Linked DNA regions of Canis lupus familiaris. The protein of the gene in region 2 interacts with the protein of the main gene of each other region in a biochemical or structural test. Links are inferred from orthologs where the notes say so. Each region holds a gene or a part of one and is shown on either strand. Other genes may lie near its edges. The genes, in order: LBR, CBX5 and CHAF1A.

The links.
Region 1: the proteins of CBX5 (region 2) and LBR form a complex in vitro, tested with the Homo sapiens proteins (2 studies listed by BioGRID, with this or other methods). The link is inferred for Canis lupus familiaris from reciprocal best matches to the Homo sapiens genes CBX5 and LBR.
Region 3: the proteins of CBX5 (region 2) and CHAF1A form a complex in vitro, tested with the Homo sapiens proteins (2 studies listed by BioGRID). The link is inferred for Canis lupus familiaris from reciprocal best matches to the Homo sapiens genes CBX5 and CHAF1A.

Annotation. Positions count from the first base shown.
Region 1 is NC_049228.1:39,236,880-39,243,357, reverse strand, and holds the start of LBR (delta(14)-sterol reductase LBR), read right to left. Parts: upstream 3,867-6,478; 5' UTR 3,750-3,866; intron 3,239-3,749; exon of another isoform or gene 3,023-3,238; intron 1,119-3,022; exon of another isoform or gene 933-1,118; intron 40-932; 5' UTR 26-39; coding exon 1-25. UniProt on the Homo sapiens protein: Catalyzes the reduction of the C14-unsaturated bond of lanosterol, as part of the metabolic pathway leading to cholesterol biosynthesis.
Region 2 is NC_049248.1:45,609,869-45,615,780, reverse strand, and holds part of CBX5 (chromobox protein homolog 5), read left to right. Parts: intron 1-314; coding exon 315-501; intron 502-4,133; coding exon 4,134-4,234; intron 4,235-5,814; exon of another isoform or gene 5,815-5,874; intron 5,875-5,912. UniProt on the Homo sapiens protein: Component of heterochromatin that recognizes and binds histone H3 tails methylated at 'Lys-9' (H3K9me), leading to epigenetic repression. In contrast, it is excluded from chromatin when 'Tyr-41' of histone H3 is phosphorylated (H3Y41ph).
Region 3 is NC_049241.1:55,657,248-55,663,159, forward strand, and holds part of CHAF1A (chromatin assembly factor 1 subunit A), read right to left. Parts: intron 5,340-5,912; coding exon 5,110-5,339; intron 4,891-5,109; coding exon 4,830-4,890; intron 4,630-4,829; coding exon 4,561-4,629; intron 1,342-4,560; coding exon 1,115-1,341; intron 549-1,114; coding exon 380-548; intron 227-379; coding exon 146-226; intron 1-145. UniProt on the Homo sapiens protein: Acts as a component of the histone chaperone complex chromatin assembly factor 1 (CAF-1), which assembles histone octamers onto DNA during replication and repair.

The DNA.
Region 1 (6,478 bases), on a different chromosome or scaffold from region 2:
CATCAGCGAATTTCCTACTCGGCATCTTCAGGACTCAGTCTGGTTGAAAAGAAAAAACAAGGAGTTGCTGCATACGCACTTACATGTGTCTTTTTTCACAGAATAAACACTAAAACAACTTTCCAACTGGCCAACATTTTTGGACCAGAAACACCTCTGGGCAGGGGTAGGGGGAGAAGGGGACGTCCAACCCCTTTGTCCAAAGGTGAGAATATAGTGTAAAGCTGTTAACTGTTTTTTTCAAGGACATAAAAATTGGCAGCAGGAAATGGCAAGGGTTGGGATACACAGAGGCTGTTCTTTCTGCCAGGACATAAACCTTCTGGGGTCACTTTACACAGGATGATGTTGCCACCATGTCGCCTGCCAGTGATATGAAAATGCAGCAGGACATAAAGGCACCAGGTGGTTTGCACTCTGCAAAATCTATCACCCAAGTGACCAGACATCTTGCTGTTCAACAAGACACAGTCAACAATTAGGTCCATTTTTTCATTTATAAATTCGCATATGGGGGCGCTTGGCGGGCTCAGATGGTAGAGCGTGCAACTCCTCATCTCTGGGTTGTGAGTTCAAGCCTCACATTGGGCGTAGAGCTTACTTCAAATAAACTCTAATAAGAAACCAACCATCTGGGAAAATCAAGGATATACAATTAACGTTACTACAACCCACCAACAAGGAGAAAAATAATTCCAAACTCATAATGAAGAGCAAACTGGGGGTGCTTAAATAAAGTTTTTAAGTCTTACAGCTAAAATACAAATTCTACCAAACAAGTCTGCGGGTACCCGGCCTTCATCCTGGTGCAGCTCTCAGGGCTGCAGCAGACACCCACCCTCATTTTAACATTCTTTTGCACACGGCCCCCAGAGCCGCCTTTCCACCACACTCTGAGAAACCACGCATGATCCGCAGGAATTGCCACTTACAGGGGGCCTGCTGGCCACCCTCCTCCAATATCAACTGGTTGCTGGGCGCTTCCAGCTCTCAGGCCGCACGGTTTCCCCGTCCACGGAGTTACAGATTCCCACTTCCACGTGACAACACCGAGTGCCTCCAACTCTCCGCACCGGCGGCTGAACCAGCGGCTGGCCTCGTCTAAGCAGCAGACAGTCCTGCAGAGAAATGCTCCCCCAATGACCTTCCTGTCGCCAGCTCAACAACCTGATCGGCCGTCTGGGCACTAAGCATTCCTCCTCACTCTTCTCCTGTCCAGAGCCGCCGACTGTACAACGCCTGCCGTGTGGGCCCCCCCAGAAGCTCTGGAGTTAAGAAAGGACAAAGCTGCATTACCCCACCCCTCCAGGGGGAAACCTTTCATAAGCACATTTCTTCACTGTTAATTGCCTGAGAAAATACTTCACAAACTGCACTTGTTTAGAGATAGTAGGGAGGCTGGGAGATGAAAGCAAACACAGCCACTCAGCCAGTGATTAGAGGGTGTCCATCCATTACCCACCAGTGTAGAAGGGGCCCTGCCCGCACCCACCTGAGATAGCATCATCGTAGGCTAATGAAGGGGTGTGGGCGAGGGTGAGAGGAGCCAGAGGCATTGGGGCTGACTCACACCTAGCTAAGGAGGCACCGGAGGGGCACCTCGCCAGTGGAGGCAGTGGATGCCTGGGGACACACAGAAAGGGCACAAAAAGGAAGGTGACAACAGCAAACCTTGTCTGTTTCAACATTCAGGTCCGAGAACCTCCAAGTACTAAGAAAGAGGAAGGAAATGTGCCCTCTTCTCTCTTGCCCCTCCTCCTCCCTGGACCCCCTAAAATCAAACCACTGTTACTGGTACTGATTCTCTGATGCTGGTCAACCAGGGTTTAAAGAAGACAACTATATCTGACTACATGAAGATGCCATTCAAGTTTCAAACAACTCTCCACACATCTGAAATCCAGTCCCTCAGAACTTTTAAAAAGGCCTCGGAACAGATACTGCACCTTTCTGAACACTGATTTATTGGCATCTTTCTATTACACTCAAGTAAATCTTTTAGGTTAGGGTGCCTGGGTAGCCTTGTGGTTGAGCATCTGCCTTTGGCTCACTGCGTGATCCTGGAGTCCTGGGAGAGTCCTGCATCGGGCTCCCCCTGCAGGGAGCCTGCTTCTCTCTGCCTATGTCTCTGCCTCTCTCTGTGCCTCTCATGAATAAATAAATAAAATCTTAATTAAATAAATATTTTGGGTTACAGAAATTAAGATACCTGGTGAATATCTGTTAGGTCACTATGCTTAATTTTTTAAAAAGATAACAAAGAACTGGGACTTCATAGTGATGTTTCACATGGTGGCCAAGAAAGAAAACCCAAGCCGGCACTTTCCTTAGGAGACCACTATGGTATCAACAAATACCCCAAAAGATGAAACCACAGCATCATGTGCACCTCCACTTTGCCCAAGATCCTCCCACATTGTGACAGCGGGGCCACCTTCTAACAGGATCTCCTGCGGGAGTAAATGGGCCAGGTCTGGACACTCGAGCTTCACTGCCATCACACATCCTTCTAATGAGGGGCAGACACACAGACAAGCTTCTCTTAGAAGGGATGTATCAGTCAAGGGTGGAAAGAAAAAATGTGTTTACTGAATACCACCTTCTCAGGCTTGTGGCTGTGAAGCCCCATGCTTGCTAACTTCTCAGTCAGCCCTGGAATCCTCACCCACTTGGGCTCCAATATGTTACTGTTTATCAACACCACAGAGCACTGCTGATCAGAGACCACAGTGTTACACGGTCTGTGGTCATCTTTCCCTCACTTTTCCAAACCAGTCCAGATAGGGCAGAAAGGGGAACTTGGAGAAGTCTGACTGCCTCCCTTGCACACCTGGGCCCAAGGTCGGCCCACTAGGCATACCCTGGCCTTGCCCCCTGCCCCCTGCCCCCTGCCCCCTGCCCCCTGCAGGAGGCCAGGGTAACACCACAGCCCCGGCCGCCGTCAGGTCAGGCCGGGGAGGCTGACCGAACCCCCTAGGTAATGCAAACACCCCAAGGTGAGGCCCGCTCCCCGGAGGCTCACTCTTCTCCCTCCTCCCCGGACAGCTCTCGGAAACCGGCTGGAGCAGCTGCCCGTGCTCTGTCCACACCCGGCGTCTTCCTGCCCCGCAGCAGGGCCCGTCCTCCCGCCACCAGCACACGGGGCACGGGGCACGGGGCACGCGGCGCGGGCTAGTGCGGCAGGTGCGCGCAGCCGCCAAGGACCTCAGGCCGTAGAGGGGCCCCTTGAGACCGTGGGACGGTGTCGCGACGAGGACTTTGTAAAGATCCTTAAGACGCTGAAAACACAGGGTCGAGCACGCGCAGCCCGCCGCGCTACCCGCGTTCGGAGCGTGAGAGCCGCGGGCCGGGAGACGGCGAGCGCGGACGTCAGAGCATCCCCCGCCCCCGCCCCGGCCCGGCCCCGGCCCGGCCCCCGCCCCGCGCGCCCCTCCCCCGGCCCCGGCCGGGCCCCCCTCCCCTCCCCCCGCGTCCCCGCCCGGCCCGCCGCGGCCGCACGCAGGCTCCAGGCCCCCCCGCCGCCCTCCCGCCGACGCCGCCGCCGCGCGCCCAAAATGGAGGGAGGCGCCGGCGATCTCCACCTCCGCTCCACTTCCGCCGCGGCCCCGCCGACCCCCGCGGGAAAGCCCAGGCCGCGCGTCCCCGCCCCCGCCGCCCCCCACCCCCCCGCCCCCGCCTCCCGCCTCCCGCCTCCCGCCCCCGCCCCCGGAGGCCGCTCGGCGCTGGGCGGCGGGCGCGGGGACGCTCACCTGCGCCGGGCTCCGGCGGGACGCGAACGGCTCCGGGACACCCGCCCAGCAGCACCCGCCCAGCAGCACCCGCCCAGCAGCACCCGCCCGCCGCTCCGCGCGCACGACGCCGCCCGCCCCGCGCGCACCCGCACCCGCACCCGCGCGCCCGAGCGCGCCCCCGCCCGCCCCGCCCCGCCCCGCCCCGCCCCGCCCCGCGCTCCCATTGGCCGCCCGGCCTTTTGAATCGTCCCCGGCGCCGCCCATTGGCCGTGCGCGTGGCGCGGCTGCGGGGGCGGGGCAGGCGCGGAGCCGGGCCGAGGGCTCCATCCGCCCGCCGCCCGCCGCCCGCCGTATCTGGGCGGCCCAGGCGCCGCGCCCCCGCCCCGCCCCTGCGCCCCCGCCCCGCCCAGCCGTGCCCCGCGCGCTCCGGAGAAAGATAATCGCTACCTGCCCAGGAGTCCGTCAGTTCGCGCGGTGCCGAGTCCGGGCCGACTGTCGGGGGCGGCAGGTGCTTCCCGCCAACTCGCAGGCTGAGCTCTCCCGACCGCGAGGGCGGCTGCGGCCGGCCCGCCCCGACGGCCCCTCCAGGGCTCCGGCTCCTTTGTCCCGGCGGCGGGACCCGGCCTGGGCCGCGAGCGGGTGGGGGGCGCAGTGACCGGAGCGTGGGCAGGGGTGGGGCGGGGGGCGCAGTGACCGGAGCGAGGGCAGGGGTGGGGCGGGGGGCGCAGTGACCCGAGCGAGGGCAGGGGTGGGGCGGGGGGCGCAGTGACCCGAGCGAGGGGCAGGGGTGCCGCGGGGTCTGGGGAGCCAGGGGGCCGGGGGTCCTGGCCGCAGGTGCCAGAAAGTACGCCGTTAACATGTGACCGGCGACAGAGAACTCTTGCCTTGTGCGCCCGGCTACCACAAGGCTGGTGTTAATTGGCCTCCAAAGCGGCGATCGATAACTCGGAATCTGGTATGGATCCTATAGCTTTTTGTGCCTCAAGTTATCATCATCGGTTGGTTGGTTTCCTTACTCTGAGGTCGAGAGTTTAAAGAAGTCCATTGAAGTTCCCCGTTTTGCAGTGTGGTCTTCAAGTACTTCTTAACCCAACTACTAGGTTAGCCTAACTTACTGGTAAATTTAAGTGAATGTCAAAAACTCTGTCAGTTAAATTATAATAATAAACAGGCTTTTCCTGTTGATGGCACAGCTTCACTCGCAAGAGTTCTCATTTTCTAACAGTTATGAGCTACAAAACACTCAGTTTACTACTTTAAAAAAAAAAAAAAGCTAATTGAGCTTTCTCAGTCATTCACATCCAGTGTGAAAGCTTTTATCGGAGCCTTTCCTGAAAACAAGTCCTGACATCAAACTGTCTTCATTGTTGTGGAGTTTTCTTGGAGATCTGAGCTACAAAAATGGACATTGCACTCCAAAGTCAAAAAACCTGATTTTTGGCAAAGCCATGGACCCTGGTTGTCTAACGTTTAAGATAATATCAACCCTGCCTCATTTTTTTTGCAGCAGATGACCCAGAAATGGGTACCTATCCCAGGTCCAGGGGGCCCCAAGATAGACTTTATTCCTAATGGCCAAGCAGTGCTACTCTGTTCTCATCTGCCCTGCCCAGAACCAAGATTTCACTGCCCTTCCCTTGAAATACGCATTTCCTGGATCATTTCCGTTTATGAGACAAAAGATTCTCTTAAACACACATGTTGCATTTTCAAAGTCAGGTTTATAAAAGCCTCATAACAAAATGAAATTAAAAGATTGTAAATCACTAGAATGAGCTGAGCTAACATTTTACCTTATAAATTACCAAAAATATTTTTCAAAACAGCTGCTTCTGACATCAGAGAAACAAAGCAATACTTATTTATTTCTAGCTAGTGGACTGAGGTGTGTTGTGAAAAATCAGATTGATACATAGGCTACTTCCTCAATAAAGGAATAATTGGTATTTTCCTCTCATTTTTCTTACAAAAACTACTTAAAGTGTGTATATTTGGGAGTAGAGAATTTCCAGGGTTTGTTCTCAGAGAGATGTTCATCAATCACATGTAGCAAGTGTGGATTTTCAGAATATATAAAGTCAGAGTCACTTAAAGAGCAGAGTCTTGGATGCCTGGATGGCTCAGCGGTTGGGTGCCTGCTTTCAGCTCAGGTCATGATCCTGGGATCCAGGATTGAGTTCTGCATTGAGCTCCCTGGGAGGAGCCTGCTTCTCCCTCTGCCTGTGTCTCTGCCTCTCTCTTTCTGTGTGTGTGTGTGTGTGTGTCTCTCTCTGTCTGTCTCTCATGAATAAATAAATAAATCTTTAAAAAAAAGAGCAGAGTGTTGGCACTGCTGTTAAGGTAGCAGTGAGTGGCACAGTGCCCTCCCACAATCTGCAAGGAAAGTGAGGTAGTGGGGAAGCAAAGCCCACCGCCTGGCCACTGACAGAGCCAGAGACCACACGTGGGGCCAGGAAATCTCATGTGGGAAACCCAGGAACCTCCTTGCGGTGTGATCGCTCATGGAGATTCTCTGCTTTAGCTTCCCAGAGGATCTGGGCTGTGAGGACTGAAACAGTTCTTTTGGGAAGCAGGTCTAGGCACAGTTTCACATGACGTGAGGAAGCCCATTTGGACTCTTTCGGTACTGTTTTGTTGAGGCTGTTTTTAGCGATTTTATTTATTCATTTATTTGAGAGAAAACAAGCAGAGGGGGAAGGAAAAGTAGGCTGCCCGCTGAGCAGGGAGCCCCACCAAGGACTCGATCC
Region 2 (5,912 bases):
TGTGCTCCCTTTTTTGCTGAATAGTATTCTCCTGTATAGATACACCACATTTATTCATCCATTCACAAGTTGATGGGCATTTGAATTGTTTTCTGTCTTTAGCTATTAAAATGCTGCTATAAGTACTTGTGTGCAAGTTTCTTTGTGGATATGTATTTTTTTCATTTCTCTTAGATAGATTCCTAAGATCAAATTTGTTCTCTCTTAAGTGTAAGGCTTATTTCTTTTTGCCTACTTGTCTTCTTTGAAAGAAAGCACTGGATTTTTCCCCCCTCATTCTTTTCCTCCCCCCCCCCCCCATTCTTTGTGCCCAGGGAGCACAATACTTGGGAACCCGAGAAAAATTTGGATTGTCCTGAGCTAATTTCTGAGTTTATGAAAAAGTATAAGAAGATGAAGGAGGGTGAAAATAACAAACCCAGGGAGAAATCAGAAAGTAACAAGAGGAAATCCAATTTCTCGAACAATGCTGATGATATCAAATCCAAAAAAAAGAGAGAGGTAAGCTTCTTTTCCCCTTTTTCCCACAAACATTTGTTTTGCCTCTTCCCCACCTCCCCAACCTCCTAAGCAATATCTTGGTGGTTTCTGTTCTAAGGGTGGCTTGCAAGGTAAATTGTTGAACAAAAGAGCTTCCAAGGAGGTACGTTGATTAACTGCAGCTCCCTCTCCTGGCTGATTGAGAAACATACTGTATATTCCACTGAATTGTAGTAGAGTGGCAAAATTAAATCCCTGTAAAACAGGTAACCACTTCCTGTCTTCTCCATAATAAATAGGCAAAGTTATCTTAGTGAGGGAGGGACTTGGTGAAGTTTTTAAGTGTAGAAAAGGGGCTTTAAAGTGTTTACTAATGGGACGCCTGGGTGGCTCAGCGGTTGAGCGTCTGCTTTTGGTCCAGGGCATGATCCTGGAATCCTGGGATCGAGTCCCACATTGGGCTCTCTGCAGGGAGCCTGCTTCTCCCTCTGCCTGTGTCTCTGCCTCTCTCTCTCTGTGTCTCATGAATAAATAAATACAATCTTTTTTAAATAAAAGTAAAAAATAAAATATTTACTAATTTTTTTTCTAATTTTTTTGTTTCAAAGATAGCACTTATTTTTAAACTTTAAAATTCTTTTTTAAATTGAAGTGAAATTCACATAGCATGCAATAAACCATTTCATTTTATTATTAAGGATTTATTTGAGAGAGAATGAGCACGTATGCATACATTGTTGGAGAAGGGCAGAGGGAGAAGGGAGAGAATCACAAGCAGACTCCGCTGAACAGGGAGCCTGACCTGGGGCTTGATCTCAAGACCCTGAGATCACAACCTGAGCTGAAACCAAGATGCTCAACTGACTGCGCCTAGACGCAATTAACCATTTTAAGGTGTACAGTTCAGTGGCATGTATATTCTCTTTTGAGTCTATTATTTCTACATACTCCAAATAATTTTCATCTTTTTTTTTTTTAGTTCAGTTTATTTTTTTTAAGATTTTATTTATTTATTCATGAGAGGCAGAAAGAGAGGCAGAGACATAGGCAGAGGGAGAAGCAGGCTCCCTACGGGGAACCTGATGTGGGACTTGATCCCTAGACCCAGGATCATGCCCTGAGCTGAAGGCAGATGCTCAACTGCTAAGCCACCCAGGCATCCCTATTGTTAAGTTTAAAACGTGTGTTTATGAAAGTTTGGTTTGATTTAGTTACTTTAATTCTTCTGATCTTTAGCTCTCAATCACTAGCATAAGCCCTGTTCCTGCTTCTCTTTTTTTCATGTGTATATTTTCCATCTGTACACACACACAGACACACATATTACCCACCCCCCCAGCTTCCAATCCTTTCATTTATTTCAAGGTTATGAAGCCTTTTGTGATGAAGGATGTATCATACCCTTAACATTTAATAAAATAAAAGCATAAGTCCACTTCAGAATTTTCTAGTGTCCCTACCATAAGCATCTCTATTTATCTTCATTCTACTTGATACCCATCTTTCTAGAACATTAGTTCTCAGCCCTAGCTGTACATTAGAATCGCTAGGGGTGGGTGAGGGGCTTAAAAAAAAAAAAAAAAAAAAAAGACCAAGTACCCAAGATACACCTCAGACTAGTTAAATTCAGACTTCTCTGGGTTGGACCCTAGACATCAGTATTTTAAAAGACTTACACAAGTGATAGAGAAAATGGGAGATCAGCTTTCCAAAAAGAATTGAAATAAGAGTGAAAGATTGGAGGCTAAAAGTGAAAGTGCACTCTAGGTTTGTGTCTATCTCTTTATTTGCTTCCCTGGTTAATTTTATTTTTTGCAACCATATTTTTAAAACTACTTTGTTTTGGTGAGGTATGTATATCATTATGATATACTGTACTGATAAGGAATTTGAGAATGCCTTCTCTTCTCTAAGGAGCTAAGACCTGGTTTGCTCTTTCTTTTTTATTAGTCCTTTGTATTCTGGCTTTTGTTGTTTGATTCATTTTCTAGCTAAGTAAAGAGACCAAAAAACAGCACAGCAGAAGACTTGGGACTAGCCATTTGTGACATACGTTGTGTATTTCCTCAACCTAGGGTTTCTCTCCTTTCAAAAAGGAGCAGTCTGGCTTAGACCTACTGGCCGGCATAGAGAGTTTCTTTCCTGGGCCAGGTTCTGATGCTGCTGACCTTGAAAACAACCCCCACACGTCCCTTGTAATGTTCATCTAGGGTCCCTGACAGCATTCTCAGCAGTGCTGGCGGCTGTCAGGTAGGCAGCCAGGAAGATAGGTGATTGTATGTTTTAAAGGTACAGGAGGGGATTGCGTTTCTTTCTTTAGACCACTGCAGAAGAAATTTGTTAGTCGGCATTATGCCTGATTTAAGATTACTGCCTGTGTGATGATTTTAGCATTTTCCTCGCCTCGGCTCCTTTTCAGCAGCTTGAACATTTTTCTTCCCTTCCCTCTCTATGTGGCAAACTGTTTTCAGCCGCCAGCTATGATTTACAACTCAGTTTGTGTGCCAGCATTCCAGCTGTGAGCAGCTGTGTGCACATCTGGGAACCTCCTCCCCTTAAGCGCCCCCAAAAGAGGCAGTGTTTTTAAGTCAGTATCTCCCCTGATCCGTGCATGGAATTTCCTTCCCAGTGTTGGTTCTGGTATCTTTGGGGACCACCTGGATCCTGAATACTTTGTATCTCTCTCTCTCAAAAAAAAAGGGCAGAGTAAATGTCAGATCAAAGAGATTTTATTATGAAAATCGGACATCAGAGATCTAGTTCATTTGGGCAGTCTTTTTAAATCTTTTTTATGTTACCACTAGATAAGCTTGCATTATCTTCCATAATAAGGTTTTTAAAATTACCTGGTTTGTCTAAAATTTCACTGTTTTGCTCTCATCAGTGCCATCACACCTGAATAGGACTCTGTGCTCCTTGTCTTGATTGCATGATTGCATTTTGACCAAGTTTGAATAATCTAGAAAATTACTGGTTTGTTTTAAATCACTCTCCAGTTCTGTTTTCTAGTGCTAACAGCTCATGCATATCAGGAGGGGTTAGGCACAGACCAGGGCCTCTTCTCCAAGTGTGTGGGTATTGTGCAGTATGTGAGCTCTGAAAGAGATTTGCTATTTTATGGTACTGCCTTGAATCATTCTTATCTCTGTTCTTTCATAAATATAAACGACTGTGAAAAATATTAAAAATACTGGTCAGTGTTAAGGTAGACTAAATGTCTAAAAAAATTAAGATGGAGAAGCGGTACGTTTGAGTTTATAAAATGAAAAAGGGTTTAGTTCGGGTAAGCATGGACTTGTTTATCATCTCGGAAGCAACAATTGAGAAGTAGTCAATTCATAATATCAAGGAGATTAGATTAGAAGGTTAGATGAGTTCCTAGGTGATGCCTCCAGAATATCTTAAGGGATATGAAAGAGTTTTAGGGGCTGCTTGTAATCCTGTGAAAGTGTAGTAGAAGGACAACTGCATCTAACAAAAATACTTCTTGGCGTCATTGTCACTGGCTGGCCCAGTATTGTATTTCTTAAGTTCTAAGAATTCTTTGAATTTGTGACAAAAATGAACTTAGGTTGGGCTTTGTTGAGCTGTGAAACTTTTTTTTTTTTAACTCTTCTCCAGACTGTAACCTTTTCTTTATCTTCTATTTATAGCAGAGCAATGATATCGCTCGGGGCTTTGAGAGAGGACTGGAACCAGAAAAGATCATTGGGGCGACAGATTCCTGTGGTGATTTAATGTTCCTAATGAAATGGTGAGAGAGATTGGGCTTCACTGTATAGTTGTGTTTCTTTGCCAGTGGCTTGAATTTGTATAGAAGATAGGGAAGGAAGGCAGAGTATATCCCGACTAAGAATTTTGATTGTCAAGAATCTTTGGTTTATATCACCCATTAGTATTAATGGAAATTATGGTTGGGAGTGGATTTAAGACATTCTCAAGCCTTGGTATTAAGCCAAATTATTTTAGCCCAAATACCTAAGGTAGCTTTGAGGTAGGAAACGTATAGACATGACCTAACCATTTATTTACACAGTTCTGAATCATTTACCGTTAGACCATGAGCCTGTGGCCATGAGATAGGAGTTGAGTGAGGCTTTCTGGCATCACTAAGGATCAAAACAACTGAATAATGTCTAAAAGCGAAAAATCATCTCAACAGAGAGCATTTACTAATACTAGCCAAAGCGTAAATAAGCGTAAGTTATTTCATCCGGTGGAGGGAGTGTCTCTTAGAGGAAAGTGTAGTTACTTCCCCTCAATTTGGTTTCGTAAAGACAGGGTGATTTATGGTGTGGCCCTCACTACCTCTCTGTTTCCAGTGTTCTGGGCTTGTGATTTAAGTTTGGTTTCTAAAGAGAGGCTTCATGCTGCATTGCCACTGAGGAAGCTTATTTACCTTGAAGTTGTAGAATCAAAAGGTTTAATATTTTATCTGATCGAAATTTTGCTGGTAAATTACCCAGAAGCCTAGATTTGAAGAATCATTATACTCTGTCAGAAGTAAGGAACTGTATTGACTATTTTCCCCCACTCAGCCATATGTGTTGCATATGATTTATAATCATACATTAACTAGCTTTTTTTTCCACCACAGTCCAAATTTGAGTGTCTGCTCTGAGCTGTGTGTTTTCCCCTCCTTTCCTCACCCATAATACTTTCTCCATTTGGAATGCTGGTTAAGGGACTTGCTAGATTTTTATTTATGTATGTATGTATGTATGTTTTATTTATTCACAAGAGACACAGGGAGAGGCAGAGACGCAGGCAGAGGGAGAAGCAGGCTCCATGCAGGGAGCCCGATGTGGGACTCGATCCCAGGACTCTGGGATCACTCCCTGGACTGAAGGCAGGCGCTAAACCACTGAGCCACCCAGGGCTAGAATTTTATTTATACACGTTGGTAGAGCTCTTGTAACTTGGACAATTGAAATTTGCAGCTAATTCCTACATTTCATTTTAGTGACTGGATTTTACATTCTCTTATTGTTCCTTATATAAGTACTATTGCAGACTTAAATTTCTGTTTTCTTACTATTCTAGTCCATAGTTCTCACCAAAAGGATAGTGAGTGTTTAAAAGGCCACAAGATGAGAAAGGTTAACCCTTTCACTGAGATGATCCAGAAACTGTATTGATCATTCTGTGCATAATCAATAGGACTGAATGTAGATTTGATCATGTTCACTCAATACATATAAATCAAAATTATAGGAGCAAAATTTATATAACTTCATTTTCAGCCTTTTGATTAAGCCTGCTATGTTTTCCATCTAAGTTCTAGCTGAAGACTTCCGCTTCTGTCTGATGTAGCAGCAGTTAAATGATACTCACTGATAATTTATTTACTTGAATTTCTCCTTGAAAGTACGGAGCTGTTAGGGTTGTCCTCACCTTGAAATCGAGATGGAGAGGAAATCAAGTTGGTTAAA
Region 3 (5,912 bases), on a different chromosome or scaffold from region 2:
TCAACCAACTGAGCCTCCCAGGTAGCCCTGAGATCTGGCTGAAATTTCAGATGACACTGCGGCTCGAAGGCTGGCTGTGAGTGAACTCAACCTAGGGCCTGCCTTGGCCTTCTGGGGGAAACCACAGGTGCAGGTGTGTGCTTACCCCCTCACTGTGGGACAGGGACTCGCCCGGCTCCTCCTCTTCCCACTCCTCGTCACTGTCCACCTCATAGTCCAGGAGCTTCTGAGAAAACAAGGACGCAGGGCGTCATGGTTGTCTTTCAGGGGTGGCAGAGCAGAAAAGCTACAATGCTTATGAAATCCAGGAGACCAGTGCAAAAAAGGCAAAATGAGAAGGAAATGTAGAAAGGCAGGTGAGGCTGGACCACTTGCTCACCCTGTCTTGGGCCCAGGGGTCCCTCGGATGGATGACGGTTGTCTTCTTATTCCACGTTCCCCAGTACGCTGGTCGATGATTCTCAGAAAACTGTAGGAGCTTCATCCTGCCAAACTTCTTCCTCTCAGGAACACCCTCGACCTTGCCGCTCTCCACGATCACCACATCACTGAGGAGGAAACCCAATAATGTGCCTGTTCTACAACCCACCCGCTGACCACCCAGGCTTCCCAAGAAAATAGGCTATCAACATTTTACCATGATGGGTAACCAACCACCTGCTCCCAAGAAAGCTAAGGGACATTTATTCCAGGGACACAGAGCAAGGAGGAAGGAGAAACAAAACTGCCAAGTTGCTGGCTCACAGCATTTACAGAAGTGGGGTCGTGGAGAGTAAGCAGATCAAAGAGAACGGTGAAATGTCCTTCCCAGGAGGCCAGCATGGAAATAAGATCCCCCCTCTGAGAGACCAGGAGGCCAAGCCAAGCAGTCTGCACTCCATAGCAGTGGCTTTTGGCAAAGCCACTGCACATGAGACTTCAGAAGCTCAGGGGAGGCCAAAAAAGCAAGGTCTGAAGGTTCAGGCCTTAGGTCCAGGATGGAAGACAACTAGCCCTTGGCCACGATGAGCCAGCAGCGGGCCTAAACCCAGAACTCTGCCTTGGGCCCTCCAGGACTTTCCAACTGCGCTCTGATTTCACCAACAGGCAAAAGGCTGTCTCCCCACCCACTAACCTGTTATAAATATTCGTGTTTCGATTTGAAACCACGGTGGGTCCGGACCTGAGGGGCTGACGGCCTTTCAGATCTTTCAGGAAGGAGAATTCGCCACTCTGTTGCTGGAGGAGCTGGTCCAACTGATCACAGAGGTCTTGGTCAAAGACAGTCCGAAACCGAGGGGCGAGAACCATGTGCTCTTTAATTTCAAAAGGGGCAAACTTCCCACAAGAGCCAGCCAGGGTCTGAAATGGAGAAGAGGATGTGATAGCATGCTTATGAGAGGGGATGCCCACCACTCAGCAGCCATGAGGGTGTGAGATGCTGGACACAATGGCATGTGCACATTGCTTTTCACATTCATCCAGGTTGCTAAGTCTCAGGAGACACACAAAAGGCTACACCCTCCGTGATGTCATTTATACTAGTTTCTGGAAAAGGCAAAACTACAGGGAGCCAAGTGAGGTGCCAGAAATACTCTAGACCTTGAGTATGGGATGGTGGAGCACGGGGGTGCTGTGGAGTCCATTATCAGAACTCAGCAAACGAGAGAATTTTACGTAAATTATACCTCAAAAAACATGGCTTTTTAAAAAGAAGGGGGTGGGCTGCAATAGAACCTGAATTCCCAGGTGAGGGAACTGAGACCCCGGGGACTGACCGCTTATCCAAAGCCAAACCTTGACAAGATGACTTACAACCCAAGCCCATCTCAACACTGAAAACGGACACATGAACCTGACAGGTCGGTGCCTGTTCCCTAAGAATTAACCGCCACATATTCTGGTGGGTTTAGTTTGCCCATCAAGAGTTGCTTCAGCATCTCCCATGTCTGTCAGTGGATCCCAAAGCTGGGAGCACAGCAGGACTTGGGGAGTCAGGAGGAGAGCCTAGATCTATAAAGCTCAGTATAGGAAAGCCAGCCTCCGACCCCATTGAGGATAGAGCACTATAGCAACAGCCTTCACCATGGCCACACAGCAGGACATCTGGAGGCTGCTGAAAACCTCAATGCCCACACCAGGGATGGGATCCAGGCTCCCTATTTTTGTAAAGCTCCCTGGGGATTCCCAACACAGAGCCAAAGCCAAGAACCACCTCACTAATAAACGGGTGCTGGGATGTCAGGCATCCATCCTAACAGAGTTAGGGCCAAGCCCATATGACCAGGAACTCTGGCTAAGAAACTATACATAAAAAAACAAAGCGGGGGGGATCCCTGGGTGGCTCAGTAGTTTGGCACCTGCCTTTGGCCCAGGGAGCGATCCTGGAGTCCCGGGATCGAGTCCCACATCGGGCTCCCGGCATGGAGCCTGCTTCTCCCTCCTCCTGTATCTGCCTCTCTTTCTCTCTCTCTATCATGAATAAATAAGTAAATCTTAAAAAAAAAAAAAAAAAAGGAACAAAGGGGACTGGCTGGCTCAGTTGGTAGAGCATACGACCCTTTATCTTGGGGTTGTGAGTCTGAACCTCACGTTGGGTGTAGAGGTGACTTAAAATCTTTAAAAACAGATGAACTAGAACAAACAGTAAAAAAAAAAAACCACAAAAAAACTAAGAAAGAGAATGTATCGTCAATGGCTACAGGGTAAACAAGGCTTTGTAACCACAAGCCCACTGCCATAAAAAATTTAAAAATGTTGACATTAAAACATAAAATTTTGGGCAGCCTGGGTGGCTCAGCGGTTTAGCGCTGCCTTCGGCCTGGGGTGTGATCCTGGAGACCCAGGATCGAGTCCCACGTCAGGCTCCCTGCATGGAGCCTGCTTCTCCTTCTGCCTGTGTCTCTGCCTCCCTCTCTCTGTTTCTCATGAATAAATAAATAAAATGTTACAAAACCAACAAAAAACTCATAAAATTTCTGAAGGACAAAAGACACAATAAACAGGTTAGAAAGCGAGTAGCAGACTGAAAGGGAGTATCTATAGCATGTGTCACCAAGAATGAAAATCCTGGCTGTGGGTGGCTCAGTTGGTGAAGCATGTGCCTTCAGCTCAGGTCATGATCCCAGGGTCCTGAGAGAGAGTCCTGTATCAGGTGCCTTGCTCAATAGGGAGTCTGCTCCTCCCTGTTTTCTCTTCCCCCCTCTCCAAATAAATGAATAAAAAAGAAAATCCTGGCTGTAAAAATAACTCCTAGAGTTCAGAGGAAAAGCCAATCCTATAGAAAAATAAGTAAAAAATAGGAATTGGCAAGACAGAGAAGAAATAAAGTGGCAGGATGCCTGGGTGGTTCTGTGGTTGAGCGTCTGCCTTTGGCTCAGGGTGTGATCCTGGAGTTCCAGGATCAAGTCCCACATTGGGCTCCTGAGGAGTCTGCTTCTCCCTCTGCCTATGTCTCCGCCTTCTGTATCTCTCGTGAATAAATAAAATCTTAAAAAAATAAATAAATAAAATGGCAAACACACACAAAAAGATGTCCAAGTGGAATCAAGGAAAAATGTAAAATGAAATAAGAATTTTTTTTTTTTTTTTTTTTGCCAACTAGATTGGTGAGGTTAAAAGAAAGCATGTTCCATTCAGTGCTAGTGCAGGAGAGAAGAGCATATTTCCCCATGATGCCCAGCATGGACATTAGCACTTCCCACTGGGAGGGTGCCCAGATAGGAACTAACGCAATTAGTGATTCTGTGAGTGTGTATCCTTGGACTGCGGGCCAAGCCCGCTTCCCGGTGGCTGTCCTAAAGAAAGGCATATATGCAGAGGAGGGTCAGTGACACTCACCGTGCCACTGATGGGGCATTGATACTGCAATGGACATACAAACTGTGACAACATCCACACTACGAAATGTTAAGTGGCAAGAGAGAACAAAGCTGACCCAAATGAGCCAGCATGGCAAGAATCCAAGATACAGCTATGTAAACAAAATAGGGACATAACAAACTCATGAATCATTATGTATATAAACAAATATATATGGAGGGATGTGAATGTAGTCAAAGCTCTAGGTGACACCACTGCATGGGTTACCTCTGGAGCACCGAGGGGCAGGGAAGGAAGTCTGGGGTTTCCAGAAGCAGGTGCTGCTTACAGGGTGACAAACACCAGGACAGGGAAGCAGAATCCTGGGCTGCATTCTAGACTGCTGACTTATGCTTAATCTTGCCTCCCATCCTGAGCCTCAGTTCTCTGAAGGTAAGGACTAGGTCTTCGATGACACCTTTCCACATAGCTCCTAATGCAAAACTGTTCATAAAGCAACTTAACGCTTAGCAGTTTTATATATATATTTTTTTAATGCTTAGCAGTTTTAGCAAACATGCCACTTTTAGCCTTTTCAAAGACATAACAAATAACAAAATATTGAGTCTTCAGACTCTACCAGAAATAAAAGCTCCCTTGTAAGCAGAGGCCCTCTCTTGATGAAAGGGGAGCTACCTGGTCAGAAAATACCCTTATACTTTTCAAAAGGAAGAACATGACCGAGAGAGAAAGCCAAGCCAGAGGAAGCCAGAAGCTCACCTTGGGAGCCTGTGGGGTCTTTGGCTTCTGAAAAAACCTCGTGATTTCAGCCTTCTCTGCTTTAATGCGCTGCAACAGAAAAGGAGATGAGCATGAAGAAATGAAGAGGGACAGTGGCCTCTAGAACAGGAGCCCCAGCACTTTTAAGCTGAAAGCATTCTTTTGATATGAGCTCTCAAAACCCATCAACATGCAGCCAGTCTCGGCGGGGGCCACCTGGCTTCCCCAGACGGAGGGAACACCAGCAGCCGTTTGGGAGAACAGTCTACCTTCTCTTCTTCCCGTAACCGTTTTTCCTCTTCTTTTTTCCTCTTCTCCTCCAGCTTTGCCCTGGGAGACAGGAAATTCGGCTTTAGCCCCAGGTGTGGCTCATAGGTCCCTGGCAGGGGTGTGTGTGTGTGTGGTGTGTGTGTGGGGGGGTGGAGGTGGGGAGAGGATATGCTTGTGTGCTGGGGGGAGGGGGTGGAGGTACTCCTGCTTCCCTGCCCCCCCCCCCCCCCCCCCCGCACCACCTCCCTGCCCACCCCCACCTTCCAAGGGCACACGCACTCTAGCGCCTCCTGCCGCTCCTTGCGCCTCTCCTCCTTGAGCCGCTGCTTCTCTGCCTTCTCCTTTTCATCCTTCTCCCTTTTCTCGCGCCTCTCCTTTTCCTTCAGCTCCTTCTCTTCCTCCTTCTTCTTCTTGGCTTCTTCTTTGGCCCGCTTGGCCTCCTCCTTCAGCTTCTCCTTTTCTTCTTTCTCGGCCCGTAACTTGAGCTGCTTGCCTAAACGTTCCTTATCCTGAAGCCAAGAGATGGTCCCACAGCTGTGCCCCTGTGCCTCCCAGGAGGGCCCACAGGCAGCTGGAGGGAGCAGAGAGGTGGCCCGCCCAGGACCCCCCCACTGGCCAGCACCCTCCCACACGGGCCACCCTGTAGCACCTGTCACTGCCCGCCACTAGAACAGTGATGTCCACTGGCCATTTGTCCCAAGACCTCAGGGCCATTCAAAATAAGATTCGCTCAAAATACCATCTTTAAACATGGGGTGGAGTTTATCTTTTTACCTAATGAGAAACAATGACATAAGAAGCTCTGGGCTACCTAATCTTAAAACCGTGGTAAAATAAAGAAACAAAAACACCTGTAGGTTTTGCTTCTGTATCTTTAAAGCAAGAGCATTTTTCTTCCCACATCCCGCTACCCAACCAGATCAGATTATAAGGTTGATCTTATTTCCTCTGAAATAGAAGATCAGAGTGAGACAGGAACCTAGAACCTGTTGTCAGGGGGGAAAAATGAATTTGCTTTTATCTTTACATCAGTTTGTCATTCCCAACAACTGGTACATGGCTTGAGGCACTGTGTTATTACA